Schizosaccharomyces pombe: one gene and its partners. Changing the gene in region 2 together with the main gene of any one other region gives a genetic interaction. Each region holds a gene or a part of one and is shown on either strand. Other genes may lie near its edges. The genes, in order: ypf1, nop10, rgp1 and dep1.

Evidence for each region.
Region 1: mutations in nop10 (region 2) and ypf1 together harm fitness more than expected from each alone (negative genetic interaction), as found in Schizosaccharomyces pombe (one large-scale study listed by BioGRID).
Region 3: mutations in nop10 (region 2) and rgp1 together harm fitness more than expected from each alone (negative genetic interaction), as found in Schizosaccharomyces pombe (one large-scale study listed by BioGRID).
Region 4: mutations in nop10 (region 2) and dep1 together harm fitness more than expected from each alone (negative genetic interaction), as found in Schizosaccharomyces pombe (one large-scale study listed by BioGRID).

The regions. Positions count from the first base shown.
Region 1 is NC_003424.3:4,187,323-4,194,623, forward strand, and holds ypf1 (intramembrane aspartyl protease of the perinuclear ER membrane Ypf1), read left to right. Parts: upstream 1-2,938; 5' UTR 2,939-3,030; coding exon 3,031-3,918; 3' UTR 3,919-4,159; downstream 4,160-7,301. Other genes in the region: pop100 (Rnase P/MRP subunit), read left to right, coding at 225-2,321; SPOM_SPAC25B8.18 (electron carrier protein), read left to right, coding at 4,291-4,656; loz1 (zf-C2H2 type transcription factor), read right to left, coding at 5,320-6,888.
Region 2 is NC_003424.3:1,632,212-1,638,907, reverse strand, and holds nop10 (snoRNP complex protein), read left to right. Parts: upstream 1-3,403; coding exon 3,404-3,581; exon of another isoform or gene 3,582-3,633; coding exon 3,634-3,650; 3' UTR 3,651-3,797; downstream 3,798-6,696. Other genes in the region: structure-specific endonuclease catalytic subunit Slx1, read right to left, coding at 1-125, 167-265; SPOM_SPAP27G11.14C (uncharacterized protein), read left to right, coding at 777-2,846; SPOM_SPAP27G11.12 (uncharacterized protein), read right to left, coding at 4,166-6,463, 6,514-6,546. UniProt on the Schizosaccharomyces pombe protein: Non-catalytic component of the H/ACA small nucleolar ribonucleoprotein (H/ACA snoRNP), which catalyzes pseudouridylation of rRNA and is required for ribosome biogenesis.
Region 3 is NC_003423.3:3,851,715-3,861,893, forward strand, and holds rgp1 (protein sat1), read left to right. Parts: upstream 1-4,504; 5' UTR 4,505-4,639; coding exon 4,640-4,982; exon of another isoform or gene 4,983-5,272; coding exon 5,273-6,582; 3' UTR 6,583-8,302; downstream 8,303-10,179. Other genes in the region: rib3 (3,4-dihydroxy-2-butanone 4-phosphate synthase), read right to left, coding at 40-499, 543-660, 709-745; DNA replication factor C complex subunit Rfc1, read right to left, coding at 1,248-3,801, 3,862-3,921, 3,970-4,088, 4,157-4,228.
Region 4 is NC_003423.3:3,796,422-3,804,660, forward strand, and holds dep1 (Rpd3L histone deacetylase complex subunit, Sds3-like family protein Dep1), read right to left. Parts: upstream 4,729-8,239; 5' UTR 4,586-4,728; coding exon 3,110-4,585; 3' UTR 2,764-3,109; downstream 1-2,763. Other genes in the region: vps1301 (lipid transfer protein), read right to left, coding at 1-2,045, 2,097-2,209, 2,261-2,282; cqd1 (ABC1 kinase family protein ), read left to right, coding at 5,776-6,408, 6,464-7,909; mrx14 (mitochondrial 54S ribosomal protein bL34m), read right to left, coding at 8,154-8,239. UniProt on the Schizosaccharomyces pombe protein: Component of the RPD3C(L) histone deacetylase complex (HDAC) responsible for the deacetylation of lysine residues on the N-terminal part of the core histones (H2A, H2B, H3 and H4).

The DNA of each region.
Region 1 (7,301 bases), 2.6 Mb from region 2:
AGCACCTACATTTTTTTTTCTAAATTCAAAACAATATTTGCAGATTCGTTTGCTCAAACCTAATAAATAAAAGAAATCAAATAGAAAAAATCATTTTTATGGTATTTTCGTACGCGCTTGAGTAATTTATCAATCCATGCAACAAACAAGTTCCACTGTATAATATTAACTTCCTAATTAAGGCTGCTACAAAAACCGTCCCCCACTTTATCTAATTTTATGAAATGAAGCGTTCAACTGGAGGAACGCAACCAAAGGGACTAAACGTCAAAAGGTCAAAGCTCGCTGATGCTAGATTCATAGAGGTTGAATCACCTGCCCTTTCAAATGGTGCTGTAGACTTAAAAAAATTCATTGAATCAAGGAGTTTTGAAATAACGGCTTTACAAGATGCTATGAAAAGATCAAAAGAATCCAGCGCTCAGCGTGCTTTCCAAGCTCTTCCTCGATGTTTACGAAGAAGAGCAGCTTCTCATAATATAAAAAGGATACCTAAAGGTTTAAGGGATAGAGCTTTATATGAAATGCAACTCAGTTCCTCATCTACTTTGCCCATTGCACCTTCCAGACAACGGTTAAAGAGATTCATCAAACGCTTGCGAAGAAAGTTAGCTAAATCAGGTGAAACCAAAGCAATTGACAGTACGGGAAGCTTGGTTACAGACAATTCTACAGATGATTCGCGAATTCCGTCCTTGGCTGCCGTCAAGTTAATACGTGGAAAATTTGCTGGTCGTCAACTTCGGAAGGTATGGCTTCCCACTCATTTATGGGTATGCAAACGCGCACACATGATAAATGCTTGGGGATATGCCATTCCCGAAAAACCGACTGAGAAATCCTATCGTCCTACCCATCGAGCAGCTTTTCGGAAAGATGCAATTGCATTCGACATGTCTTATGAACCATTGTTTTGCATTAGCGGGCCATACGAAGCTCTCAAAGAAAAGTTTGGAAATTCTTTTGCAAACGGACTGCCTCCTGTATTTCTGAATTCTTCTAGATCATTTACATCTTACCTCGTGAAGTCTGACATACACGAGCTCATATGCCCTTGTTTTCTACAATGGAATAACCCTACAGAAGATGACAAAAAACAGATCCCTGTAAAAAATCCTACCGAATGTGTGCAGTTAGTTATACGTTTACATCCATCTGCATTTCTACAAGCATGGAATTACTTATCTGGTATAGCTGTTTTGGATGATCGCATTGCTATGCACGATTGGCGACTAGATCTAGCATCTTTTGATATTCACGGACCCGATAGCAACATTATGCTCCACAAAGTATTTGACGACGTTGAATTAGATGAAGCAGGAAAAGTTTGGCAGTCGATTTCCAATTATTCAAGCGCATGCTTACCCATGGGCGCCTCGATATCTGTGAAAGCATTAGTTAATACTCGTTGCGATAAAAATTTATCCGAAAAGGGAGAAAAAAGCTTATTAGATTCTGCTGAAAACAGTTTACCAGCATCTGCAAACCAATATAGCACTCATTTTAGGTATTGGGAGAGACAGGAAATACCCTCTTTTGCAGTTTTTGAGAATAAAAATAGACATACTCATGAGAAAAAATCTTCTGAAAAAGAAGTTATACCCGTGTATATTACGTATAGAAAAGAATGGAACGGACTCACTGTTATTTTGCCTTGGGATTATGCCAAGTTTGTATGGAGGAAGATGATGTATCAAAAAGGAATACGTTTTGGCGGATTAGAAAATTTGCACCAAATTGCGTTTGAAAAAAGAATGCCTTTCTTTCCGATTGATTATCCAGATACGATTAGTGGGCAACTTTGCGAAGAGGAAAGAAAAAAACGAAATGAAGATAGCTGGAAAAGACGTCCACCTGCCAAACGCGTAAATTATCAAAAATTCGGAGATAATTTTTCAGAAATAGGTAACCCGTTTTGTTGTGATTGGGTTTATCTAAACGAGATGGTTAAGGCTTCACGAGATGAAGATAAAACTCTGCAGCTAGTACGTGTTCAAGTACAGTTGGTGCAAAGAGGTAGCCTGCAAGATCGGGCTCGAATTTATTGTCTTAGTGACGATGAACTTAGTAAATGGAAGACCATCATTTATAAAGAAAATCTCACTGCTGAAAATTTGCTTTACCCAAAGTGTCCAAACGAGACGGCTATTATAGGATTCGTCACGACCGGAAATTTCAATTTGAATGCAGGCAAACCTTCTGGTATAGCCAATGTTCTAGCCAAAACGATTAAAAATGAGAAATCCGGATACTGTATTATTCGCAACGTAGGTTGTAGCGTCCCACGATTAGCACAATGGAAGTTTAATCAGTCTCATTAAAAAGATTTGAGGACTGCATTCCAATTTTGCCATGTGTATAAAAAAAGTGTTACTTTTATATATGACTGATAATTAAAACTCCTTTATATCTGTTGGCATCTTCTTGGATGCAACTAACTAAAAATTGGTGAAATTGAAATGCTTTCAAATAGAATAATTGCTAAATGACGCTTAAATATAATTACTGATCAGTCAACTGAAAGTTATAAACCGATCACCAAATTTTCCGTTTTGCCGTAGATAATACTGAATTCAAGGGTGCTTTTTCAAATTCATTTATTCATGCCGTTATTCTTTAGAACATATTTATGGGAATGTATTACGATATAAAGTATATTGCTTTGTTTACACATATAATACGCAACGAATGCATGACTTTGTGGGACCTAATGGCACATTCAAGTCACACCTATATGCTCGAGAGAAGAAGAAAATGTTTAATTTAGAGGTTTTGAATGAACTAGTTTCGAAAAAGCCTAATAACATATTCAAAATACAAACTATTAACTGCTTGTTGCATCAGGTTACCTTAAAACTCATTATCTGACATAATGCACTGTTAGCATTTAAATTATTGTGAGTCTTTTACAGTATCCTCCTAGACAACTGTTTATACTATTGCAAACGCGTGAGGAAATATTTTCACGAGTATTTGAGGTTTGAAGGGGATAAGTTTTTGGATTTCCTTTGGTTCATCATTTTACAAAAGATGGAGGGAGTAATACTTGCTTCGTCAGCTTTATTTACAGTTTATATAGGGGCGAAATGGTCTGCCCAAGAAGAAGAACCTGAAGAAAAACAACTTATTAATAAGCGCTTAGCTGTGCTGTTTCCTATTTTTGGAGGAGTTACGCTTGTTCTGATGTATTTGGCACTTCGATATCTGAGTAAAGAATATATTCAGCTGATACTACAGGGCTACGCAAGCTTAGCATCCATAATATGTTTTGTACGTAGCTTTAATCCAAAAACGACATTTGGAAAAATTACCGCAACCATGAGTTCAATTGCCATTGCATTATTCTACTTTAAAACTAAACATTGGATGGCATCCAATATTTTGGCATGGGCATTAGCTGCTAATTCCATTAGTATTATGAGAATTGATTCGTATAATACTGGTGCGCTTCTCCTTGGTGCCCTTTTCTTCTACGATATCTATTTTGTATTTGGTACCGAAGTCATGGTGACGGTAGCTACTGGAATTGACATTCCAGCTAAGTATGTACTTCCTCAATTCAAAAACCCTACAAGGCTTTCGATGCTTGGTTTGGGTGACATTGTCATGCCTGGATTGATGCTTGCGTTAATGTATCGATTCGATCTTCACTACTATATTAATTCTACCTCCCAGCCTAAGAAGCACTCGACATATTTTCGGAATACCTTTATAGCTTATGGGCTTGGCCTTGGAGTTACAAATTTTGCATTATATTACTTTAAAGCAGCACAGCCAGCTTTGCTTTATCTCAGTCCTGCCTGTATTGTCGCTCCATTACTAACTGCTTGGTATCGTGACGAATTGAAAACACTCTTCTCCTTTCGTAGTGAAACAGAAGATGAAACTGACGAACAAGATAAATGTAAAAGTACTTAAAATTGGTCCTTGATTTAGAATTTCAACATTCGTTTGTTAAAACCCATTCCTTACTTCACGCTCATCCGTTATTCGCCATACCGTATTTCCATAGTTTGCCATGTATATACGTTATACATATACCATGATATTCCACTTACCTCAATTCAATTTTTTACAAGAAATTTGCAAAAACCTTTATTTTGAAAGTTTATTTTAGAATAAAAAGTATTTGATTACAAAATTTAAATTACTCCAAATCACTACTAAAGAGTTGAGCATAGTGCATTTATACCACTTTGTTCCTTCGGCAATTATTTGACTCTGGTGTCTAAAATTTGAAATAATAAATAATTTTGATTATTAGTGAATTTCAGCTGTGTTTCTCCTAAAATGTTTGGTCTGACCACGAAAAGAATATTGACACTGTTTACCAAAAAGCGACAGACGCTAGTTGAGCAAAAATTAACAGAGTATATGATTGCAGGTGAAAAAACGGATAATCAAATGCTTCATTTTAAATTACAGGTCGAAACAGCTACCCCAACCCTTGACCAATTGAATATCATGCTCTCTAACATTGGTAAAGATAAAAGTGATTTACTTGTCGCAGGTGCTACGTCTATTGAAGATGCTTTGACAAAGTACCAGCATGATAATCAATTGTTTCGACGACCTTGCCTTGTGGATTGGGATAAGGGAAAAGTTAGTCCATATTCCATCCTTCTCCAAACTCGCGACTTTTCTAAACTTTTATAAAAATATCTCTTATTCCAACGACCGATTTTTACGTATCATTTTAGTTTATGAGCATCCTTTCAACTGATGTTGAAATGCGATGCATTTCAAGTTACGAATAATAAAAAATTTTGTTATTATTATATCTGCATATTCAATAGTTACTGTAATAGGATTCATCAGAAATTCCTTTTTATCCACTTAATATGTCGTTCGTTGCCAGATCTTTCGAATGGACTTAATTGATTGATATCTTGAGTTCGCTAGTAAACACATATTTGTACGATAGAAAACTTTTTAAGGGTAATAAATTAGCTAACAATGAAAGAACATTTCGGAAGTAGAAAGCTCAAAATAGATTCTTCGAATCATAATAAAATGAGACTTTAAGCATATGTTAAAGCTAGGTAGGTTAAACGGAAATGAGAAACGTGACACGCAAACTGTAATCAAAAAAATTATTTTAAACTAAACTCTAGTAAACGCGCGATAACAAAACGTAAAAGAAAAGGAACGGAAGGTAATGCTATATATTCTTTAAGGGTGCGGGCAGCCAACTGCTATGTGGTTTTATTCAATAAATTTTTATATATCATGAAATTAATATCGTCAGAAGTTGTAGTAGTCGCAATAAATGGCTTTCAAGTAACGGCTAATAATTGCTATCAGACAGGTTAAAATTGGCTACAAACCATGAATGCGTTGATGTCGCCGCATATTACTGCGTACATTGAACGCCTTTCCACATCCAGCGTAATCGCAGACAAACGGCCTTTCTCCTGTATGGGAATATGTATGAATTTTTAGACTAGAAGGCCTAGAAAATCCTTGTAAACATTCCGTACATCTATATCGAACGTTGGCAGCGGAAGAGGTAGACGAAGAACCGGTATGGGATTGTGCAATTTTGCGTGAAGTTGAATGTCGCCGCGATACATGAGCTCTCTTATCGTTGTTGTGATGATCAGAATAATTTGAATCAGATTGCTGACCCATTGGATGAGCCTGCGCGCTGTTGCTAGCCAAAGTAGCAACAACACTAAGTTCCGCGCTCATGTTATCCTTGAAATTTAAAGAAGGAATATATGGATTTCTGGATAAAGTGTGATTGTTTTCAGCGTCATTAGGAAGCGGAACCGAGACTGGATAAGAGGTGTTTGCCGGGCCTTGAGAATCATTTGATTGCGAGGTTGAGCTTTCGGAAGCGTTTTCGGCTTGATTACCATTTGCATGATTTAAAGTATTACTTGCAGGAGGAGCAACCGATGAAAGACGTGATTCATCGACTGTGGGATGATTTTGAAGATCTCGGGAGCTGGGTTGATACTGTGCAAATTCTGTATTATGCGGAACAGGGATGTGCTGGGGCAGTGCACCCTGAGCACATCCAGGACATACAATTGGATAAAATGGCTGTTGAAAAGGAAGTACTATGGGAGCGGCAGGAATAGGAGCAGATGTAACTTCTTGATTATTAGAAGACGGAGGATTTGCGCCTGAGGTATTGTTCTTGGAACTAGGCTGCTCTGCAGCTTCAGAAGATTGCCTTTGATTAGCAAGCGCCAGTTCGTTAGCCTTTGCAACAAAATATGCATAGGAAAGAGGGGAGTAACCAGACAAAAATCCAGCAGGAACAGCAGCCGGATTAGAGTTTCCATTACTAGTGTTAGAAGCATCAGTCGCCGAGCCTGTAGTCGCGTGAGCATAATGCGGGACGGCAGCAGCTGCTGCTGCTGCCAAGAAAGTCGGGTCGGCGAATGTCCCACCTAAAATAGTAGAAATGGGAGGAAGTCTAAGTCGAGCGCTTGATGCTGCCAAGAGGTTTGGAGGCATATGAGGATGGCCGTGAACAGTAGTACAACAACAAAGTGCGTTGTTTGTAGAAGGAGAAAACTCTAACTGACCGGCAGCATTCAGGATAGCAGGCATGCTTGCGGCTGATGTGACATTGTTCTCCAAATTTTGATTAGAATTTGAAGTAGTCGGGGTGTTAGTATTACCTGCAGGAGGAACTGGTGCCGGTGTTGGACGAGATACATTTGCAGATTCCGAAACAGTAGCAGCTTGAGGATCGAAAGCTTTTTGAGCTACTTGTGGAACATCTACCGAGCCATGAAAAGCAGGATTCTGCACATGTGGGTATGGACAAGCAGGAAACATGTTATATACTATTCCAGAAGTAGTGGGAAGAGAAGATTGAGGAGGGTTCTCGTTATTACGTCTATTGATTGAAGGAGTGTTATCTGAGCTCATCACTTTTAAAAACAGCAAAAGCCTAAAGAAATGAAAAAATTGAACTGAACCAAAGTAAGTCAGATCGTTCTATTCGGAGTAGCAAAGAAGCGTCACTGGATAGAAAGTGAGTTATAATGAGACTCGGTTAAATATATTTAATTTCTGTCGTGAGATTGAACACGATATTACGAGAAAGTCCTCTATATTTGAGGGGTGAAAGTGTCCGATATTTGATTGACACAGAATTGCTATCCTACGAAGTAAAAGAATATCTCAGTTTAGCCAAAGCAAGAACAATTAAAAGAGGCAATGCAAGAGACAAAAGAATAACGGGATCCAAGGATGATCAATGTAAGAATAAAAAAGCAATTGATCGACTGATTAACCCTACAGTAAATTTTTTTTTGGGGGTTTTTTTTATAATAAATAGC
Region 2 (6,696 bases):
CATTCGAACTTTAAAGCAGACACTTTGTTAGGAAAGCCGTAAACTAAACATGAAATCGACCAAGGGCGCCCGTGTTTAGTTTTTGATGCACCACCAACTATTTCCCCATTATGTTGCCGCAATCGCTAAAACAAATTAGTTTCCTATAATAGCACAAAATACCTACTCTAGGTGGATCTGGTGTGGAACCGATATAAACAGCTCCACTTGATTGTGTCCTATTCGACTTTAGTAAATAACAGCAGTAGAAATTGCACAAATCCATGTTTCATAATTCTTTTCGATAGCACTTTTCTCTTAACCCGTGGTAATCGAACAATTAACTAGTGGTAATTTTATAAGCTTGTTAAGTTAATTAATTGAAAGTATAATCTAAAAGTATTTTTTCTTTCAGCTTTGTCTTCGAATAATAGTAAGAAAACAATGTAAAACAAAAGGTCACCGTTACTGTCTTTAGGGTTATCCACGTAAATCTGTAAGATTAAATTGTTATTTGACGTGCTTCATTACTTTCTCTTTCACTAAGGATTATTTATAATTCAAAAAAAAGGAAAGAATTACTGAACCTATTTAAGCACCGTCTAAGCGTGTTTTTTTTGTTGTATTAAATTCTCAACAAAGCTACTTCAAAGGACCTACCTTGTCCTCTCCTTCATATACACTAATTAAGAAATCTTTAGATTTTTAATACTCGGTCGTCAATACTCAATGATTGCTAACAGTATACGATAGTTTTCTAAAAAAATCCAGAAAGCCACCTTTTTGAGCGGCCCGTAATGAACTTGCTTTCTCATCAGCTGCGCGACAGATTTCCAATCAAAGCAATAATATCGAAGGCCGATGAGGTTATTTTTGCAAATTATAAGCATACTAATGATTTCTTCAAAATTACAGCAACCACCTATGCGTTGATAAATTCAGTCATTGTTTCAAACAATTGCTGCAATAGGCGATTTCACTCAACTTGGCAAAAAAAAAAACATGATGACCTTACTGCTACAGTCCCCGTCATTGATTTTAGAAAGAACCAAAAACTTACATCTATTGTTGTAAACGCAATTCAAGCTATCTATTGGTATGCCAGACGATCCAATTGCTTAACTGGTATAAATGAAGCTGAATACATTTGGAAGAGCTTGATTCCTGAAAGCATTTTTTACCATTTTGTTTCTCTTCAAAGTTTCATACGAAAATATTTGACTGATGTTTTTTACTGTTCAGCTCAGAAAGTTATTTTGCTTTCAACTGACGATAGTGTCGTATCATCTGAAAAGTTGTATATAAGGATTGCTTCCATACTTTCCAACGCCAATGACAAAGTTTCTTTCAAAGAATCATCAATCAATACTAATACTGTCTTCAAAGATGTTTACGTTGAAGTTAGTTCGCACAATGACGAGTTTTTGTTGAAAAATTCATCAAAATGCTGGGCATTCACAAGCTTACTCGTTGATCCTTTGCACTTCATGTTTTCTCAAATAGTTTTTGAAGATTTATCCGGTAAAAAAATCATGAAATTTGAAGACACAGCTGTTAGCACAGCAAGCAATCATTCAAAACAATTCACGAAAGGAAATTTATTAGCAATTAAGTATATTGGAGGTCTATACAACGCTGTTTACTTGATGGGTTTAAAAAAAAACTTGCTTGCATTTGTAGAAAATGAAAAAGATGACTTATTTGTCGCAAAAATTTTTTTATTAGCATATTCATCTTCCAAAAATCGAAAGAAAATTGTTCCAGTGGACGTTTGGGATGCCATGATTGACTCTTTATACGAAACAATAAATGTCGAGGAGACAAAAAAAGAAACTTACAAGTTTACTCGAAGCATAAAAACTGTGATTCCTAATAAATTAATATCTAACGAGTCAATTTCAATATTATCTATTCCTGAATCAGAAAAGACTATATACCAAAATTTTGATTTATATGTTTCAAAGTTTAACGTCGCCAGGAAAGAGTTATCCGAAAAAGAACTTTTCAATAATTCTTTTTCTTCTTCATTTAATACGTTGCTCGCTAGCTTGTTGGTTAAGCCAACCTTATGTCTGATTTCTTATTTAATGATTGCAAAAAAAATGGTTGTATTACAGGAGGCAAACCGCTTATTTCTTAAATCATTTGCCCATCCATTCCATTTGGAACGATACCATCTACATGCTGTAGCTGCAATGGGTGGTCTGTATCAAATTATGTCTTCTACTCATCTGAAAAATTTGTTTTTCTGTTCCAGGAAAGGAATCGCTCTGACAAAATTACATAGTCAGCAATACAATGAATCAACGTTGTTTCAATACTTGTCAGAATTTGTTCATCAGCGACAAAAGTCGCTTACACCGAAACAGAGAATCGCTATACAAGAACTTATTTTAAAATTTATGCAAAGAAATTTTGAAAATAGCCTTTACCACCAATCATTCAGTTCGCACTGGTTTATATCTCGACTATTGATCAACCCGATTCGAATGCTCTGTTGGCATATTACAGATGTGGGGAAAACGCTGGATCTCGGAGAAGCAGAGAAGTTACTAAAATATAATCACAAACAATGTCCGTACATAATTTACCCATCAAGCTTAAAGGCAGTGCAAAAGTTAGGTGGATTACAGTGTATCATTAGGAATGATAATTTGAGCCATATATTCAATTGTTCAAGGAAATATATCAGAGTACAAAGATATTCTGACGATGATTTATCAGAATCCAGTCTTCTACCGCGGTTGGTTAATTTACTTTTGTTTTTTGAAAATTCAATGGGGGAGGTTGCATGGAACAAACTTAGTCAAACGTTAATGGATATGTTTGAAAAGGAGACAAAGAGCAATTCTTTGAGTGATTATTAAAGCAAAGACATCAATTAATTATCTATCTTAATTAGATGCGCAATAAAAAAAAAAAAATAATATTTCCCTAAAGAAAGACAATCAAAAACGAACTGCTTAAAATAGAGGTTTAACTCCCTTGTTTAATAACCCATAAGTTAAGTGTACTAAGGTGCAATTACTAAATGTTCCAAGCAAACGTATGTTAAAGATGTAAACTAAATAGTTGGATCTGATTTGGTCAATAATTAATCGCATTTTCTTAATAGCTGAAAACTCGGATTTTAAAAGAAATTATTTTATTCTAATTTATTATAATGACAATAGCTGTTTTAATTTTACGAAGATTGCTATATCCTTAACCCCATATTGCTTATTCTGCTTACAGTATTGTTTTTAAATTTTAGTGAATAATAAAAGAAGAGAGTCGCTAAATAATTTAATATTTGATTATGTCTGTGTTATAATGCTTTAGCGTAATTTAGCAACAAAAACAGTCACCTGAAGTTGAGGTACTTTTGACATTTACACCTTTCCAGCACCATAGGAAAATTGTAATATCCGTTTTTTTTTTCACAATGCATTTGATGTATTATTTAAATGATGAGGGAAAGCGTGTTTATACTTTAAAAAAGGTATCTCCAGATGGAAGAGTCACAAAATCTTCGCATCCTGCTCGTTTCTCTCCTGACGATAAATATTCTCGACAACGTTATACTCTGAAAAAACGGTTTCATGTACTACTTACTCAATTGCGTAAGTATTTCTATTAAATTAATTGGTATAATGATAGTGTTCTAACGATTAGCTGCAAAACCTTACTGAGCAAATAAGAAAACGTCGAAAAATTTTCGCCTTTAGAAGGGAGCTACATAAGTATGGTTTTGGTTAAATAATCAATAGTTTTGATTTTTCTTTGGTTATGTGAGTAGTGTGCTCAATTGAAAAAAAAATATATTTCAACTTGAGTTGATTTTCCGATGTTTATTGCGAAGCATTATTTGTTTGGCATTTGCATTTATTATCTATTAAACTACAAAGAATAAATCCCTGGTGTATACATAAAATCTTTTAGTAAATGCTAAACAGTTACTGAGAATGTAAAATAACGATAAAAGTAGTAACATACTAGTGGTAATTCTGAATGAAAAACGAAACAACATTTTTTTAACCAATTTGTGAAAAGAAATAATAAAAAAATAAAACAGATGTAAAAAGCCAAGTATCTATTCAAACAGACTCTTTGAACATACAAAACTTAGGATAGTTCAAATTTCTCCATTTCAATTCTTAAAACGGAGATATGCCGCTCAAGCATAATCCTCAAGGAGATTTCAAGTCTAAAATGAGTCAAATATTTTGACATCCGTACCTTCAAAGATGCCTGGCCCTTCTCTTTTATGACTGTCTAAATCGCATGAGACTTGCCAGGCGAATAGACGAGCAAAATTTGCCAATTGTTGTCTCCATTCCTTTGTTCTATATTTCGGAATGTATGGTTGATTAGTTGCTGGGTATTTTTGAGTTTTTATCATAGCCATGATTTCTGAAGCTGGATGACCGGCTTTCTTCATATCACTGATTTTGAGAGATAGGTCAGTGAAAATATCGAGCATAGTTCGGAAGTTCAGCGAAGGCCACCATTTATTCCACCATTCTACAGTCGGCTTAAAAGTGTAATCTACTGAATGAGCAATTGGCTCTACCTTCGCTTCGTCGGTATCTTCTAACGAACGGTCATTGCCATGGAGTGTGGCACTTTCTGTAAGAGCTCTATGTAATTGAGGACGTTGCTTCAACAATGGTTGGACAGGCCTACTATCCCTGTGAGTACGTAAAGAATTGGAGCGAAGTGCTTTATCGAATCCATCAGTAATTTCATCTTTGCTAGTAACGTCTTTGAGGTTAGTGAAACCAAATTCACTACTTTCTATAGGATAATATGGCGTTGGACTTTTTGACCTAACATATCGAAGTCGGCTTAACAATATGGAGTCAAACGCTTTTGAAGAAAATGTTTTACCATTGCGAGTCCAGTATGCAGAATCTCCTTCCGCGGATGAGTTTCTAACACTCATAATGGCATCAAACGATAAAGCGCTGACCGCTTCAATGTAATCTTTGTGCATTGAAAAGAAGTATAAGAGTGGTGCATTGTATTTTTGGGCATATTGAATTGCATTGTTGATAGCTCCTATAACATACTTTAAAATTTTGTGATTGACGTCGTTAGAAATTAAAAAGCCTGGATAGGAAGCAGATTGAAACAATTCAAACAAACTCTGGCTGGAATGTGAGTTTAAATTTTGCGCGTATAAACAAAGGTAGCAAAGCGAGCAGCAAAGCATTTGAGCAATCTCGGAATGATAATCTTTAGTATATTGCACTAGTAATGAAATTGCAATAATGGTAAAATCTGCGTAAGTACCACCTTCGAAAGGAACTGGCATGCTAATTGGTAAGGCGGTCTGCTGTTGAAATGGCTTGTTTAAGCGCTTACAAAAATATTTTTCAGCGGTCAAGCGCTTTAACAGAATTACACAAAGCTTTAAGTGGTTATAAGTCGAAGGATCTCCGAGATATTCAAAACTTAAATATAACAAAAATATAAACAAATCGATTGCTCGATCGGTATCAATAAGATAATGAAAAAACCTCTCGTTATAATGAATAAAAAGTTTGCAAAAAATTAATACAAGAGGGTAGTAGTCAAACATAATCAATGAGCTTCTTTTTGGAATGGTAGATTGCATAGGGGGATATAACAGTCTGCTCATTCCATCAAGGATGATTTGGAAATCTGAATAAGGTTGAAGTTTTGAAAGCAGAATGCTAAAATAGTTTTTTGGTAATGTGTTTTTTGAAGAACGGTAATTATTATAACAAGGAGTGCCGTTGTTGTTTTCTTCCGACATTAGTATGAGTAGGACAGAAAAACAATACTCTATCAAAGACATGTGAGCTACCGAGTTGTCAAGGGGAAGAAACTCAGGCTTCCAAAACATCGTATTGAAACGCATTGCTGTATTGATGAGAGAAGAAAGAAGACAAAGGACTAAGCGCCTGTTAGCTATTGAAGCAACATAAGCACAACAACTGCTTCCATTGCCATCTGTTCGATATATTTCCTCGGAAAATAATGAAAGTAAGAGTCGGAGGACTTCGACACGGTGAAGTTCGTACGAGCGCTCTTTCAACATTGTGGGATGATAAACTACCCCAGTTTCCCAAATACAGTAGTGAACTCCATGGGTAAGATCATTATGAGCAGGGATGGTAAAATTGATTAGGAACAGATAATCTACAACGGTGTTTAAAAAGCTTGCTCCTCGGGGTGTATTGATGTTCGGATCCTTTGGAACTGTCCACGCAAAATAGTCAAACCATTCTAACATTGACTTATCCTCAAATATAATTGGCATAAGCCTTGTCAAAAGTCGCATACAATTTAACGCGCATTTTGTAGTGGGAGCGGCGGGGTCATCAAACAATGTTTCTTTTTGTAGATCTTCTAATTTGTCCCAGAGTACAGCAATAATAGTTTGCAAATTTTCTGGAGCGTTGTCTTTAACTTTTGTCAAATCATCGATAGACATCAAATGAAACACGTCTTCGGTTGTTTCTGGAAGCGTCCAAAGCTAAAGATTATTAGTTAGCAAAAATATTCACGAATAAAGATCACACTTACACGCTCCCATATAAGGTCAAATTTTGGAATGTTCTGAATTGGTTAGTACACTTGAAATTTTCAATTATTTATGATTATATTCAAATTGAATTCACATTCATTAGCAGAGAATCCTAAGAATTGAACTTCGTATTCTCTGGCATTCACTGAATTATGAAACCAACCAAAAGAAAAATATTACCT
Region 3 (10,179 bases), on a different chromosome or scaffold from region 2:
CACGATACTTTTTATGGCAAACGATATTATCTTTTATAGTTACATACGCCCTTTAATGTAGGATTTTAAGCTTTCGATAGTAATAACTTTGATTCCCCATTTCTTACCAAAGCTTATGCAATCGTCAAAGCGAGACATCAAGCCATCCTCTTCACGAACTAATTCACAGATAGCTCCTACAGGCGGTAAACCAGCAAGCTTGCACAAATCCACCGCAGCCTCCGTATGACCATCTCTTTCCAAAACACCGCCGTCTCGTGCTCTTAAGGGAACAATGTGTCCTGGTCGATTAAACTCACGAGGAGAAGTTACTTCTGGATTGGCTAGCTGTCGAGTCGTTAATGCACGATCGTGAGCGGATATTCCAGTGGTAGTACCGTTGGCATAATCCAAAGTAACTGCATATGCTGTTCGCATACGATCCTCGTTATTATCTACCATCATAGGAATTTCTAGAGAATCCAAACGTTCACCAGTCATGGGTACGCAGACATACCCACTATTTATTAGCATTTCAAACAATTCCATGTCGTTTTGCATACCTAGAATGCCTGACTAAGAATGCCATTTGTTCGGTAGTAACTTTGCAACCTGCAATAATCAGATCTCCTTCGTTTTCACGCGTTTCATCGTCTAACACTATTAAAAACTTTCCATCCCCTTGTCATGATATTAGCGTTTTATCTTTTTAAAAAGAAATATGCTTACGAAAGTCATTCACTGCTTCCTCAATTGATGCAAGCATTCTGGTATTTGGCAGCTTTTCAGATGCTCTCTGCTAAGTTTACTAAGCACTTAGCTCACCATAACTCTGATAGTTAACACAGCAATGTAGCGTACTTAGATGAAACGATATAATTATTAATAATAAAAATAATTTTATACATTTTAAACCGCCTGTCAATTAGCTTTTATTTTACTGACTCAATTACAAATGATATGGTTCACGATAGCTTTATTGAAAATACCACTCACCGAATTTTTAAATCTAACCTTGCAAATACGGTCATGCTAAATATGATATAATATATCTTATAAACATTAAAGTATGTAACGGACAAAAGAACACACATTTAAGATTAAGAAAATTTGAGCATATCTTACCAGAACTGTAAAATCCACCAAAAAATCTATATTATTTACTATTGTTGCAAAGTAATTGAAAAGTATTCGCAAATTTCACTTACTCAGCAATATAATCCCGATAACTCATATACAATCCGTAAAAGTAATATTTTCAGAGCTTTTTAAGCTGTCTTTTTTCTGGATCGGCGACTGGTTGAGCTAGAAGAGGACGCTTCAGCCTTTGCCTTAGTCCTTTTTTTAGGTTTCTTTGGTACCGAAATAAATTTGTCTTTGCTTAAATCTATGTCCTCTTCATTAGCAGCCTCTGAGTCACTAGCTTCTTCTAACATCTCATCTTCGGCTTCAATTGCATCTTCGACATCCGGCACTTCGCGCTGAGCAGAGCCCTTCATAGGTAAAACATCACTACTTCCAAAGAAGGCGATGGGGTGACTCGAAGAATTGTATTTTCTTGTGAATGCAGATTTTGCAGCAGTCGGTATGGTTTTCATGAGTTTCTCACCTGCATCTGCAGGAAGAACTAATTCCGTTATTGAATCAAAATCTTCACGATTTAGATAATATTCATCCATCAATTCAATGATTTCTGGAACGACGTCTGAATGGCCTGTTGATAGCTTTACAGGCAGAGACTCATACAATATTGGAATATAATGCTGCCGCAAGTCCAATTTATTAGCGGATACTTTTAAACGCATGTGTACTTGTATCTCACGAAGCATACGATATAATTTATTTGTCTTCGAGTTATTACCCAACCAATTAGTAAAGCGAATCTGCCTGGAACCGGAACCAGCCACGAAAGAAGCAGGTCGCACGCAAGACATAAGAGCATGGGTTGGCATAAGTGACCAGTGTTGTTGAGGACCATGAATCATTGAATCAACAAGATCAGAGTCGGAAAAGGAGTTAGCAGCACTAGATATTAATTCTAAATGCTTCAAATGTGACATTTTCGGTGGTTCTTGACGAATTCTATCTGGTGTAGTATTAAGGTAGTTTTCTTGAACCATAAGATAAGAAAATTCGTGATCATTAAAATACAGCTCTAATTTATCATTAATGGTGGACTTGCTTGATGGATGAAACATTCCTCCATGTAAGTAACGACTACAGATATCCCATGGTTTCATAACGATATGCTTTTCAGAATTTTTAATAACAGCTTGGCTATTTTGAGGTGTCATTTCTGAACAGCTTAACTTGTAAGTGGATAGCAAATTAATAATTTGGCGCATATCGGACTGCGTCCCCTGAACCAGTTGATCGACTGCTTGTGGTGACAATTTGAGACCTTCACGATACGCTATAGACATTATTCGGGATCGCATTGAATTAGCATCTGGCCGACGGAAACGGAGGTCAAACGTAGTACGGTCAAGGGGCCGCAGCTTTGGATGAGCACGGTCATTGCAAATACAAATAATTGGTATCATGCTTTTTTTAATAATCATATTCAACTGACCAACGCCTCCACGATCACCCGATGACATGCCATCGATTTCGTCCATAATGAGTACAAGTCGGGACTTTGCCATGTCAACGGGGTTAGCTTTTGTGCCAAAGTAGCCGGCAAGTGATTGACTATCTGTCACACCGAACAGCTGCTCATCTAGCAAGCGCTTGCTTCTAGTGTCACTAGCGTTCAGTTCCAAAACATCGTAACCTTCTAATTTTGCTACCAAATGAGCAGCAGTCGTCTTGCCAATACCTGGAGGACCAGAGAGTAATACGGCTTTGTATAGACCCAGACCATCAGGTCCAGGTTTATTAAAGTTGGACTTCCTGTTTTTGTGGTAATCCTGTAGCCACTTTTGAAGTTTTTGAACGACACCCTTATTACCACAAATATCCTTTAAAGAAGTTGGCGCATATTTTGAAGTCCATATCTGTGAAGGTTGTGATTCCTTTTTATTACTATCGTCCATTCTCGCAACAGTTTCAAGGATTTTCTTTTCTTCTTGTTCCTTTTTCTGTTGAGCAGCCTGAGCCGCAGCACCCGTTCCTCCTGAAGCAGGAAGATGAGTTATAAGATAGAAGAGTCCATCCTCGTTAATAGCAGGAATCTTGTGTTGTTTAATTGTTTCCACTTTTCTTGGACCAGCATTCTCACCTAAGAGAATAAAGTCTGTTCTAACAGAAGGTGCACCTGTCACTTTTCCACCATATTGTTTGATCAGGTCTGTAGCCTCTTGTCTAGTTAAAGTCTCTAGAATTCCTGTAATAACAAAGCTAATTCCCGAGAGACAATCGCTATTGCCTTCAGGGACGGGTTTTGAGCCTGGAGTTTGTGTTGTAGCCGCCCGTTCATAGAAAGTACCTGGAGCCATCACACCCATAGAGTCTACGTCAATTAAAGGAACATTTTTGAGGGCTTGGGAAACTTCGTCTGAGAACCTAGGTAAGCCTTTCGACTTGCTAGAACGACTTGTGTGAGTTGTCGCAGTTGTGGTATGAGATTTTGACTTTGAAGTTGTCGATTTTTCTGCTTTAGGTTGAGCAGGTTTACGTGTAGCTCTAGTTTGATGGACAACTGGCTTACTGTCTGAAGTGGTATCCAAGTCATTGGCAAAATTTTCTGTTTTTACAGGATGTACGACATCTTTGGAAGTAGTAGTTTCTTTATTGGAGATAATCCGCGGTTTAGAACGTGACCGAGTAGACTGTTGTTCAAAGTACTCATCAGGTGTAGTTGAAACTCCATCTGAACCGACACTAAACAAAAATTCAAATTAGCGAACAACGCATAATGAGGTAAAAGTAAAATAAACATACAGTTTATCGTCTTCATGAACAATGGATGGCAAAGAATGGGAAATATCTTCCGACTCATTACTAGTTGGAGGGTTAGAAATATAAACTGATAACCCGAATTAAACGAACCGTTTTTGCACTTTGCTTTTGGATGCAGGAACTTTTGAATTCTCTATTGTACCATCTTCATCATCTGATAAAACGATTCTTTTTTTCTTCAAACTCCTTTTTGGTTTTGGGGAAGTAGGCTAGACAAAGACGTTAGAAAATGAATGACTAGCTTATCAAATTTGACTGATTGAAGAAACAAACATACAGTCGGTGAGACTTTTGGCTTTTTTTGAGCGTTCCCTCCTCCAAAGAAGCTTCGAATGTCAGAATTACTCATTTCCGACGATGAATAACAATTACCCAATTCCTGAGAAGCTACTGTCTAACTTCCAAAAAAGCAGTGTATGTATGTATATTGGGCGACAATAGCAAGGAATGTGACAATTTGCCAAAAGCAGAGAGTTAACAAAGCTTCGTTAAAACATTCGTAAATGAGTAAATTAAGGAATAGTAAGGAGAGTGTAAAAAATTGATTGTGGGCGTTCGTTATTTAATCTCGTAAAATGAGTCGTGGAGGAAGAAAAGTGGGCTCTTTTACAGTACTATTTTGATTGTGCATTTGTTACGAGACTAATAAACGTTCGTCAATACGAATGAAGAAATCCAAGTTGTATGGTTATTATTAAGGTAAAGCTGAAGCCAGCGGCTTGAGAAATTATCGAATATAAGAGTTTAGTGGTGTTCGACAATGACAGAATGTGATGTGCAAATGTACATGCCAGTGAATGTAGTTCAATCCGGAACTGACTTTGAGTGCATTGTAAAATTCACGAATCTAAGGAGTTCAGAAGATGTAAATTTACTTTTGTGCTATGCTTCTATCCATGGTGAAATGTACCTTGACTATGTACTGGTGCGCGTTACAGAATTCGATGAGGTTCAGAGGCAGGGGCTCTTAAACAAAAGGACAATGAGCGGATTAGTACATATTCCCAAGGTATCCAGCAGTTATTCTGTTATTAATACTCTGAACGGGATGATTGGAAATTTATTTGGAGTTAAACAAGCAAGTACATTGACAGAGGCCTCAGGTATGTAATGGTGAAAGGGTGCAAAAGGAAATAAAGACTTGGTAAAAAAAATCTCTCAATTGGCTTACATTTGGAGGGAAGATATAGCTCGGAAGAGTGCTTATACGGTGAGGTGGACATAAAGTCAATTGACGAATTACAGAAAGGTTGTCTGGGAAGAGTTTTGTAATTCATTTGAAACATATTTACTCTTTATTCAATTTTTTTTTTTTTTTTTTTTTTTTTTGGAAGATGGTTACTCTTATTTTTACTGCAACCTACTGCTTAAGCATGAATACTAACCGATAAAGAACAAAAGCAGGAAAATGCCATTCCAGTGCTACTGACTCGTCCAGATATATTAGGAGTCGATATCACGCTTTCTCCTGGAGAGGAAAAATGCTTTCGGTTGAAGCGAAGAATTCCCCTTCGAACAGCACCTACATATAAAGGATTGGCCTTTCGATTTCAACACGCACTGGTCATAGGAGTCCAATCAGCTACCAACAATGCTTGTGTAGAGCATGAATTTGAAATTACTATAGTACCCAACGTTCAACAGCAACCTGAACTGCCACTCGGAAAGAATTCGGGAAACAGACAATCCTCGAAGCTGTTTGCAGATTTATCCAAACCGATTATTGAAACAGATGCGGCAGAAATTGAAGAGGTTTCAGCAGAGAAAGCACGTAGGCAATTCGGTAAAAACGGTATACGACTTTCGCAGGATGCGCAGGAGGAAGAGAAGCAAAAAAAGAAATACGAGCAACACATAAAAAAGCTACTTGATGGAGAGTCTAATGAAGAGGGAGGAGGAGAATTCCAAGATCATGGAATGAGGTCAGAGATCAATGAAGAAGTATTAGAGGAAGAGGATGAAGAAAAAATTGCGTTGTTAAAAAAACTCGAATCCAAGCAACCAATGGCCACGAGGTTTGAGATTACAAGCAAACAAAAAGTGTTATGTCGATTGCTTTTGAGCAAAAGCAGATATCGGACAGGAGAGATGATGATGATTGAGCTAGAAGGACTGGACGCGATGGTTCGACAAGTGCATATGCAACTTGAAAGTGTGGAGCGTATTGTGCCAGACATCCGTATACGCAACAGCGTAGGGACGGAGAGGGCGACGCGAAAAGTGTGGTGTAGAATTACACGGGGAGTGTTTGAGTTGGAAAACATGAGCGCTTCGATGGTTGTGCCGGAGGAATGTCCGGAAACATTTGAAACACAGCAATTTGGAGTGGAACACTTTTTGCGGGTGGAATTGTTAAGGGCGGTGAACAAGAAACGTGAGATGCAGGGACCGGCGCATCCCCGATATAGTGAAGAGGTGCAGAGTCCGAGTCGATCGAGATACAGTGAAGAAGTACAGAGGGTGAGTGAAGGTAGATTGAGCGAAGAGGTAAGCAAGGAGGAAGAGAAGAAAGGAGGGAGGGAGAGCGGTCAGCACAAGCGAATGGCATCGCTAACGAATTCGCGAGAGATGCAAATCCAGCATGCACCGACAACGTTTGCGGCAGAGACGATTCAATGTGTTTTGCCGATTCGAATTGAAAAGCGAGTTGTGTGGATGGAAGATGGAATGGAAGGAGGGATGGAGGGGATGCAACCGGTTTAGCCAAACAATTGAGTAATCCGATCGTTGATCAAATCAAGTCTCAAAAAATTTTAACCAGCTCATACTCCAACCTTGCTAACGTCTGCGAGAATGGATGATTTCGCTTTTGCTTTCCATTTTGAAAATTCAATCCATTACCGCACCGTGCTCTCTCTCGTACTCCCCTCATTGTGCAGTAAAGTGGGAAGCCACGAAAAAAGGATATAACGATTGTTTGTGAGAGAGAAAGAACGAAAGAACGATGGATGATTGAAAGTGTCGCTTAGTTTTAAGATAACGACAATTCCCTTGATTTCGCAATTCTCCTTTTGGGTACTTTAGGCTCCCCTGGCTCCCTAACGATGCTTTCTTGTAGCGCTGGCTCTGGTGCGTGTTTTTTTGCGCTGATGCTTGATATCAATCATGTCATTTCATTCTATGCATTTAGGGGTTCGGACACTGAGTGTCACGAATGCAATCTATCATACAATATCAAATTTCCAATCTCTCGGTAACTTTGTATGCATTATTAGCAGACAAGTGACGTTTTATGCAGTAGTAGCAGTTTTTGCAATGGAAGTAGTAAGCCAGCAAGCAAGGAATGGAAAAGGTATGTTGTATGTGTATCCCCCCTTCCTTGTCTGACCTGACTTGGCCTAACCCTGTCTTAACGCAGCCTTGGCTTTCTTCGTTACACAATGCTATTTCTATTTTAAGTGTGTTATACTGGGTTATGCTATTCTCGAAGCCAATCTTGCCAATGTGAGCAAGTGAGCCAATCTCGGAAAAAACCTCCCCGTTCCTTCCTTTACCGCCGTGCAGTGAGAGGTGACGTGAAATTGAGATCATTGGTGATTGGGAAGATCAGATGGTTTTGGTACGACTTTTCTTAAAATTGCCATTTTGTCCATACCGTCAATGCCAAGGAAATTGACTCGATATCCGTTTCGGAACGCCCTGATACTACGTCATTTTTCAGGGTAGGGGTGAAGTCAGTTTTCTCAAGGGGGCACTGCCCCACATGGGCTCTAATGGACATCGGTGTTTTTTTTTTTCATCTTGCGGCACCAGTCGAGTCAGTTTGACCAAATTGGCCTTGAAAGATGACTGACCTCTTATTTGTCGATGACAGCGGCCCTCATTGACGATGACGACACTTTTTTGGAATGAGTGAATAAGGCGCGATAGTGTTTTCTCCTATTTGGTGATATGGAAACGGTGCGTTTTTCTACGCGCATCTTCCGAAGAGGTAAGGTTTGGCTTTCGAGACCTAAAAGTCATTCTCCTATCAATCGCGTCATGTTAGATTGTTGATGGGCCTTGGGCAGTGGGAGGTTCTTGTAGGGAAAAATAGCACGTTGCAAGAAGGACGAAAGAGCACAAGGAGGAGGATCAGAGAAAGAAAGAAAGAAAGAAGAAAAGAACAAATTCTTGCGCACTTCACTAAATAGATGGTAGCGAAACATATAAAAGAGGCTAGACATAAGAGAAACGCTAGACTTGGGAGAAACGCTGGAGGTAGGAGGAACGCTAGATATGGGAAGAGTTGAGTAGGGAGAGAGAGTAAAGAAAGAATGAAAAGGAAGATTAGAAGAAGAAAGAGGGATAGAATAAAAAGGAAATGGTTTTATTCCTGTTGAATGATTGAAATAGTTGTATGAATAGATGCAAATAACTATCATTAAACATATAAATAGATGCAAATACAAATAATACTAATAATTTAAATAATATTAACAATACAAATAATTTAAATAATACAAATAACTATCATTAAACATCTAAATAACTCGCCAACTAAACATCCAATTCCTATTTATAAACATCGAAACAACATACATCCGTATAAGAATGAATCTTGAGGATCCTTTTCATTATAATAGTATAGTTTAGTAAAGTAAAGTATAGTCTAGTATAGTATAGTATAGTATAGTATTTTCTTTTCTTTTAGATTTCCCCTTGACATTATCGACTCTTTTCTTCGTTTATTAGTAAAGCATGTATGTTACATTAAATCAAATTTCATTCGGTTTTTCTTTTTCCTTTATGTGCAGCGCTCAACAAAGGGACAGGGATGCTATGGACTAAAAATCGTGCTGATGGAAGCGGCAGACATTACAACGTCACCTGCAACGATGCCTTATCATATGTGCGTACGTGTGCAAATCGAGAATGGGATCGACGGACAAAAGAGATGCAATTTTCTTCTCGTCGCAGTAGGAGCGAGCATACAGCGATCGGGTGATACTTGGAGAATCAAGTAGGGACGAATGAAAGTGTGTATGAATTTGGGGAGTAGTAGGAGTAAAATGAAGAGTAAGGGGGACTAGTAAAGAGTCATGGTGGCCGTAAGAAAAGAATCTCGTATAATAAGAAAGTTTTCATATCAATAATATCGATGCATCCAGGTTGTAAGAGGTCGTCATTCAGAAAGGTAAGATATTGTCATGGTCTTGGTCATGCCTGCCCAAATGTTAATGTCACTGTCGGCTCTCGCAACTCGTAATCACTTATGTGAGCTTACTTTAGATACGCTGCCCATGTGGGTCTAGCCAATTTACTGAAATACATTGAACCCTTTCGCAAAGTTCGTTCCACTGCACTCTTTTTTTTTCGTTTTGCAAACTGCTCTTGTCATCCATCCATCCTTTCATGGCTAAACTAATTGAATGGAAGGGGATGGCGTGGAAATTGCAAAGCATGCATGACAGATCAAGTCAAGCGATGTGCTTTGAGCGATACGTTTTCAGCAATGTGTTTTGCGCTAGACTTTTCGCTGCCGCAGCACTTTTGATCGATCGGTTCGGTATTCGGTGGAGTGGAAATTGCCGTAAAGAAATTTCACCTTTTTCCATCATCTCATTAAGAGTGTTCGGTTTCGCATGCTTTTTTTTTTTTTTACTTGCGCATTTGCTTTGCATCCTCCTATTTTGCCTTGTGGCTGCTTTGGACAAGCCATCCCATCAACCAAAAGCATATGCAGTGTGATTCGTTGGTAAATTTTCTTTTTTCCTTTTTACTTTCTTTCTTCTCTTATCTTGCAAGTAACACGATGCGTTTTGTTTACGTTGATTACTTTTGTCTCTACTAGCGCCCTGTGCTAGGCTCAATTTTGCAAGCGGTGAGCTAACTTACGCTACACTATATATCCTCAACCAACAGAATGGGCTCAAAGACGAATAGAGTCGTTTGTTGCTTTGTTCATTTCGCACTGTGGAATACAGTTTCCATAAAGTCGCTTTTTTTTTTTTTTTTAAAGTAAAAAGATTTTTCGAAATTGTTATTGATTGAATGTTTCTTTTTTTTCTTCTTTTTTCTTTTTTTTTTTAAATTCTATCCAATCCAACTTTTGTTATTTTTCTCCTTCTCTCTATTATGACGCTTCCCTCCTTTTTTTACTACCAACGTAACCGATAACCCCAATTTCTTCTTTATCCCCGTCTATCCCCATTCCTTTCACACTCCATCTAGTTCCTTGTTGATGAATAATAATCTTCTTTACAAACAGAAACGCTTGAAATTCTCCCAGCTCTCTTGACTCACCCATTTCATCCAATCTCGCCCATCTTTCTTCCTTATTGTGCGCTCTCTCTCTCTCTCTATCTATGCCTTCCCTCG
Region 4 (8,239 bases), on a different chromosome or scaffold from region 2:
TTTAATTGCTCGTTGTTTATCTTTTTGCTCTGGAGTTTTCTGAATTTGTCGATAATCGCATCATCAACTAATTGGGTATGTACCAACGCTCTACCCACGTCAAGGAACAGTGTAGGGCTTTTTAAATCCGTACATTCTTCTCGAACAACAATCAAGGGAGCTTGCAGGTCAATTGTCATATCGGAAGTCTTGTGCATTTCTAGGGCATAATCCAAACTAGCACGAGTTTGTCTAGCTAGGGTCATAACTTTTGCAGCTGCAGAATATCCCCATTCAGAAACGTGCTCGATTTTTGTTCTTGGAGGAACAAAAAAAGCTAGCAGACTTTCAATACAAACTCGATTGTAAATAATAACCAAAGTTCGCAAATGTACGATTAGAGTAGAACTCGCTTTATACACCGGTTTGGTGTCTAACAATAAAAAAAACAAATGTGTTCTGTAGGCTTCAGGGATTTTTTGCAAACTTTCACTTTCTTCAACAGAAGGCTTTGCAAAAATTACACGAGCAGGCTCAAGCTCGGGGTTCGTTATGCCATCAAACATATCCAAATCCTTAAGAGACACTTTCAATTTCAGTGATTGAGGCCTTATAAAACATTCTGTTGCAAAACTCTCAAACCTTTGCTTAATTAAAGGTATTACTCGTCCATTAATGTGAGATTGTATGACAAAACTTCCTTTAGCGATAGAGACTTCAACATTAGCCATACACATATCCGGATCTAAATTTACGGTATCAGGATATAATTGTCCGCTCCATTCTATTGCAGAAAAAAATTCTTTCTGTTCTTGATCAGTCAAGTCAGCGGCTGTTTTATCAGTACTTGCTAATGTATCTTCATCCTGGGACTGCGGCTTTCGTATATACCCAGAAAACCAATCGTACAATCCATGAGCTGCCGAAGTTTTTGGTTTTAAATAAATAGAATTCCTTTCCTCAATCAGAGATGTATGCACACGTGAACGGTACTTAATTAGATCGTAAGTAGAATTTCGTTTCTCTATCTTTTTTTGCAAATCAATTTCTTCCTTTGATATTTGCTCATTCAAATACCTCTTACGAATAATATGCATGTAAGCTATTCTGTCGTCCCTTCTCCTTTTAAAGTATTTCCAAGTCCAGTGATATCTGCTCTCATGAACAGAATCTTTAACAACTAAAATGGCATACTTAAACCACTCCAATGGTTTCTCTTTAGGAGTCGATTTAGGCCTATATTGAAGATAATATTGTTGCTTCATTACAACACGAAAGTAGTCAATAACACCAAGTAAACTGTAATACATATGATCACTTAGCGTAATTGATATTTCTTCAACAGATAATTTTCCCCTTAATTGCATTATCTGGTCTGTCGGATGTCGAAATAAGACAACATGGGCGGTTGCCCGTAGCGGCTTTAAAATGTAATTATAAGCAGGTGACTTTTCTGCACTAGGAATCAGGTTCTTTAAATAAGAGAATATGTCTTCTGTAGTAGTGCATTTAGAAATTTCACACTTACTTATCCAGTATATTGAGAAATAATCAACAGTAATAATTTTATGAATGCAAGAGGAAGGAATTGGATCGGTTGAAAGCAAATATTCGGTAAAACTAGCATCTGTAGAGGTTACTCTTAACGAATAAAGCGTCAATCCAAGAGAATAAGGTTTTTCAAGATCACTCAAATTATCTTCAAACCGCAAGTGAATTCTTTCGATGTATATTTGAATGTTATCAGTAAGTTTGGCAATAAGATACTCAATAAAAGATTGTTTTCTACTTATATTTGGATTTGATGAAGACTCTTCTAAAGTTTCTCGAAAATTTTTCCGTAAGATTTCAAAACTATCCAGCTGTTCCTGCTTTAAAGCTTGTTGAGATTGCTCCAACTCATCGCGTGTTAAAGAGTTTTTCGCTTGGGGATGAATTGACAAATATATGTCTTCAATATTGATCGTTAAAGATTTGTTCCGAAGATTCGACCATGGAATTTCCAGCGTAAACGTGCCAATTAAACCACTAGTGATTTCAATGGGAATTCCGAGTTTATCTAAGGCCTATAAAACAATTGTCAGTGAAACTGCAATCAATCGTTCATTTTTAGTTACCTCAGGTTTTATTCGTAAATTATGCAAACTAACATGGCCACCCCAAACGCCGATGTTTAGTTGTTTAGTATCCAAGTTGTCAACATACGAACCTAAAATTTTGTTCAAGAGGCCTAATTATTTTATTAATATCAATGTCTTTCAAAAAAAGGTATAATTCATACCGGCAACTAGGCCTTCTAACATGTTTGTTGGCTCTTTGACACTGAAATTAGGTAAAAGGCAGTTGGCATCCGACTTGGTGAAAGTTAGCAATGCAATTGCGAATAGAGGAATGTTTTGTTGAAAAAGAAAATCTTTTTATTCCATTTATACATTTAACAAAATTATTCAATATAAAAAGAAAACGATTATGAGAAGAGGAAACTTCATTTCCGTATAACGCACCTTTTTATCATCAAACGGATTGAGTCTAAGTGAAAGGAGTATTACTTTACTTATTTGAACAAACTAAATCTTTTTTTTTTATTAAATCAGTTAAATTAAAATCCTTCAAATGTACATAGGACTTGTTTACGGCGCTAAGTGCCACACCATTGAATGCGTCAACAAGTCAGCTTTATCGAACGATAAGTAGGATACTTTGCTTAACTAGTTTTGATTGCGAAGCACATGATTATTATCAAATTTAAACATACTTAATTGTTCATAAGCAAATTTATTATAAGGCAAAATGAGTAAGACGGATAGCTGTTACAAACTTAAAGAATCGCTGTAAAATTAATTCATTAGTTAAGTCAGAAACAAATACTGAATTAAAAATATTAACCGAATATGTAAATTCTAAAGAAAATGAAACAAACGAAGAGCGAATGTGTTATATTATCGCTTAGAAAAAAAAAAAAAAAAAAAGAAAATACATTAGAATAGATAACGAAAGGCAAGAGTTTTAACTAGGCTCTGAAAAAAAAAAAACACTCTTGACACCGTACCAAAAAGGAAATTGTGTGTCAAAATTGAAGTAAAACGTGAAGGAAATTAGGAATTATCGCGGGGAATGAGGATGCTTGAAATTAGTCTTGATTTTCACTGAGGCATCCCATTTCTAAAAGGTCGTTGCGGATGTCATCAAAAGAAGCTGTTTCGATAATAGGTGCTGTCGGAAACCCAGCAAAACTATTAAGCTCACACAAAACTGCAGCTTCATATTCAATTCGTTGCTTCTGTAACAAGGCACTTTGGCGATATGACATGGTTTTTTGAGTAATATATGTGGGATCGTGAACAGATTTTTGTTTGTTTAAAAGCTGAAAGCACTTCGTTGCAATTTTGGTTAGAAGCGCTTGTCGTATTCTTCTTTTATCAAACAGTAACTGATACTTCCTCTGTTTCGTTACATAGTCCATTACGTTTTTTATATTCCCAAGTTGTTTCATGAGGTTTTCAGTAGCTAAACGCACACGATCATCTCGCCGCTCTGTTATAAGATCAATGCAGGCATTAAAACGCTCATGGGTTTCGTTTTGTATCATTTCCTCATGCTCGTTCAGCTTTAACAGTTTCTTCCCATATAAACGGTTTCGTAAAAAAGTAAACTCCGTTTCTATATTTAGCAAAGCATCAAACGCTTCTTTCCGTTTTATAGCCTTTTCATCGTCAGCTTCATGAGCCTGTTCAGATGCGGAACGACGATCTGCAATCTCACGATCGGATTCCTCTTGGCTGGTCTCAAGAGCTACCCTTTTTATTTTGCTCTCACTGTTAGTAGACCATTTTCGAGAAACTGTTGCACGTTTACGCTTTCGACTTCCAACGCCACTTCGAGGACCACCTTTTCTGGGTGCTTCTAAAGTTCCACCTCTTTGTGGTATCTGGTGGTCAGAATCTTCGGTTCTTTCAATATTCGACTCTTCGTCTTCTTCCTCCTCATGCTCAGAAGACTCCTCAAGTTTCGAGTTGTGGTTAGTCTCTATGAGTCCATTGTTGTCATTGGTAGCTTTTTCTTCAGACTCAAAGTCAGATTCCTTCAATGAAGGACTAACAATGGTTATATTTGCTGTGTTTTCCATCTGAGGTTCCACAGAGTTGTTTACCAGTATGGTTCTGCCAATTGCACTTGAGTCACCTAAGTCCTCAGTGACTGATACCGAACCAACTAAAGATGTTTCTTTCTCTTCATCTTCATTTAAGACTACAGTTTCTGCCTCAGATACATTATCATGATCTGTTACCTCTAATTTAGGAAGTGACGCTAACTGATGAGTTGTGAGGGACGTGGAACTGTTCAGTTTGTTCACTGGCGAGTTTTTTTCAATGATTTCAGAATTTTGAGAAGGCAATTGAGGTGCGATAATATCCTCATTAGCATTGGTCTCTGGATTAGATAGAGCCGAATCAACAACCTGCTCACTTTCAGCGATCGAATTATTTATTCGTTTCTCTGAATCTTTATTTTTAGGAGAGCTTTTTAAGTTGTTCATTGGTAAATCAAAAGGCTCCTTAGGGAGTATTTCATGGGGAATTGATTCCGACTGCAAATTTTCGGTCATCCTGAATTAATTCTTCAACTTCGTTCAAAATACCCTCTCGTAATTTACAAATGTCAGAATCTAAAAAACAGTATCGTTGATTTTCGTGTGTTTTCATTCAATATGTATGTTTTCGAATGAATTGGTAGTGTTGGGGAGAGGATGACATTTGATAGCTGGGCATCAGTAATAATATTCATACTCAACTTTTACACATCCTGTAGGGACATCTCAAAATTTTGAGCCAAGAACTTAATAATTTGTTCTAAATTAGCACTTCCAATTTATACTTTTATCAAGAATGGGTTAGGTGAAATATTCTCAGTCAACTGTTACTCATCAATGAAACTTGGCGAATGAACCATCGTCGATCAAAGGCTTTTTATTAAATCAATCAAAGAGTCTCTATAGATAAACTCTATGCTAGTCTCTGAGTTAACGGCAATTGAAGTAATGATGGTAAAGCTTTTTAATTCAGTACAAACAATTCCATTTTAATTTCAATTTATACTTTATTTTATCAACTGCTAGCGATTTTACAATTATCTCTCTTTGGCAGCAGAATACTACCATGAACTGATTATTTAACTTATTTGAATATTACCGATTATAGGTGTATAAGGAAAAAAAATGTGATTCCTATAATCAGTCATTTTTTATATTTTAATAATCTTCCCTTCAATTAGAACTTTGAAATTTTGATAAATTACATTTTATTGGTAATAATGAATAAAAAAATGTTTCTTCACGTACTAGATGATCATATCCAGTTTATCATACTGTAAGTTCAATTCTATAGAATCCAAATAGGAACTGAGCATTAATTAGTCAATATTTTATTTATAAAATGAAAGAATTGATTATTATTACAGTCTTCATTTTGGCTAACAATTATTATTTTTCTTTCTCCCAGTCACAAGTAGACAGCGTCATTCGACGTTGACACCAATAGACACTAGTGACACGTAAATTTGAGCAATATTTTTGAACTGGTGCATTCTTTATTTTCAAGATATTAAAGGTTGACAGGGTTTCCTAAATTCTTTGAAACACCTCTTTTAGTAGCTGCTATACACATTTATTGAACAATTCCTATTTTCTTTATCAGGTTTGCCAGTGTTTTCAATCGAAAATACCCATTGTAATTAGTTTATTTATTTTTTTGATTCTTGATAAGGAAATGCTCTTCTGAAAGTCAATAATTGGTGAACATGATTAGTTTTTCTCACTGGAATTCTCACATACGTTCGGGACTTAGTCTAAGCATGATTCCTTCTGCAAACTCTCGTTTTGCTTTCATTATTCAAAGAAATTATATTCCTGTCGTTAACTCGCAGAACACAAGATGGAAAAGGTTATGCGGGACACAGTCAGTTTGGTCACCATACAAAAAAAAGCACGTACTGGTTAATCGATTGAAGCATATATCTTTATTCCCCAAACCTATATTTGCAAGAAAGTTTACAACCCGACAAAAAAGTGAAGACCAGAAGCAATGGAGGATACTAAGGATTACATTTCTTGTCCTCCCTTTTACGGTCGGAGGATTATGGATTTTATACAGAGTCAAAAATCGAAAGAATAATATTTTCTCCTTTGACGAACTTGAATTAGAAGAGAGAAGCAATCGACCTCGTTCTATTTTTGGAAAAATAAAACAATTTTTTAATATTCTCCTCAGGTCATTTAATTTATTTATTATTTTCTCTCCAATTATTATTACCTTACCGTTTATCGCTCTTATTTCTTTCCTGCATCTTCGATCTTTGTCGTCTTTAACCGTATCCATTTGGCTTCGTTTCCTCGTTACTCAATTAGAAAGAGCAGGAGCAACGTTTATCAAGGTACGTTTTGAATTTACGCTTATCATGTTACTAACATTATTTTTTTATTTTGCAGTTGGGACAATGGGCTGCTTCACGGACAGATTTGTTTCCTCCTGCTTTCTGTAAAACACTGTCCAAATTACATTCACATGTAACGCCCCACAGCCTTGCCTATACTCAATCAGTCATCTGCAAGACTTATAAAGTGGAATCTATCGAGGAAATTTTTGTTAATTTTAACCCAATACCTATAGGTGTTGGAGCAATTGCTCAAGTCTATACGGCTACCATCAAGAAAGCAGCTACGCAGCAAGATAATTCCTACTTTACAAGTATGCTACAATCTATAGGGTTTCGACAGAAAAATATCTCTGATGCGCCAGTGACTCAAGATGTAGCCATTAAAGTTTTGCACCCGAATGTTGAAAAATACATTTCTTTAGACTTACAAATCTTAGGTTTCTTCGCAAAATTAATTAATTTGGTACCTTCAATGAAGTGGCTTTCTCTGCCCGACGAAGTTAAGGTATTTGGGGCAATGTTAAACCAGCAATTGAATTTACATTATGAGGCGCTTCATCTCAACCAGTTCCGTCTTAACTTTAGAGGAAATAGATATGTTGAATTTCCAGCTCCCTATGATGATTACACGACTAATCAAATCCTACTAGAAGACTATATGCCGGGTATCCCATTAAGCGCGTTCCTCAAACATAAGTCAGGACCATTTAACAAGTTGTTAGCTAACACAGGAAATAATGCATTATTTCAAATGCTTATTGTTGACAACTTTACACATGCTGATCTTCATCCGGGTAATGTCCTTGTTAAATTTTACAAAGGAATCCCTAAAACAATCTTTAATCAAGATAATGAGATTAATGACTCAATTTATAAAATTCTAAGTACATGTTCGACGGAGGAATGGGATTCTGCTATGGAAGAATTAAACATCTTGGGCTATCGACCGACTTTAGTATTTTTGGATGCTGGATTAGTAACGAAACTTAGTACGCAGGATCAGAAAAATTTTTTGGATCTGTTTCAAGCCGTACTTACTTTCCATGGCTATGAGGCTGGACTGTTGATGGTTGAAAGGAGCAGGCAGACAGAACGCGTTATAAACAAAGACATATTTGCTCTTAAAATGGAACATTTGTTGAATGAAATTCAAAAGAGCACGCTTTCACTGAAATCACTTCAAATAGGAACTATATTACAAGAAGTAATGACTATGGCGAGAGAGCATCATGTTCGAATTGAAGCAAATTTCGCAAATACTGTGCTATCTATCCTTTTAGTTGAAGGCGCTGGACGCCAACTATATCCAGAAATGGATCTATTAAGTAATGCTACACCATATCTTCGTTCTGCTTCATCGAAATCCAATGTCTCACTCACAAACCCAATGGTTCAATTATGGATAGCTTTAGAAGCTAGACAATTTTTGCTTTTAAGCACCTCTAAAGAAACGGTAGAAAAGTGGGTTAAGTCCGATATGATCGCACCCAATATATAAAAAAATTACGGTTTATTTTATAAATGATGGAAAATTGTTCATGAAAAATATAGTCGCAGACATGGAAAATAAATTTTATAAACTCGTGTTTTAAAGAAGTTATTAAAGTTCAAAGTTCAACAAGTAAAATTAAACAAAGAACCAATGGAAAGAAAATGTATCACAAACTAGAAAGCATTACTTAAATGAAGAATTGATAGAGGTTACTAATGCAAATTAGAGCCCATTAAAAGATAATATGTACTCAATGGCTCAGATACATCCTCCCTTTTTGTCTTCGATCTCGTAAAACACGACGACCGTTAACAGAACGAATTCGAGATAAAAATC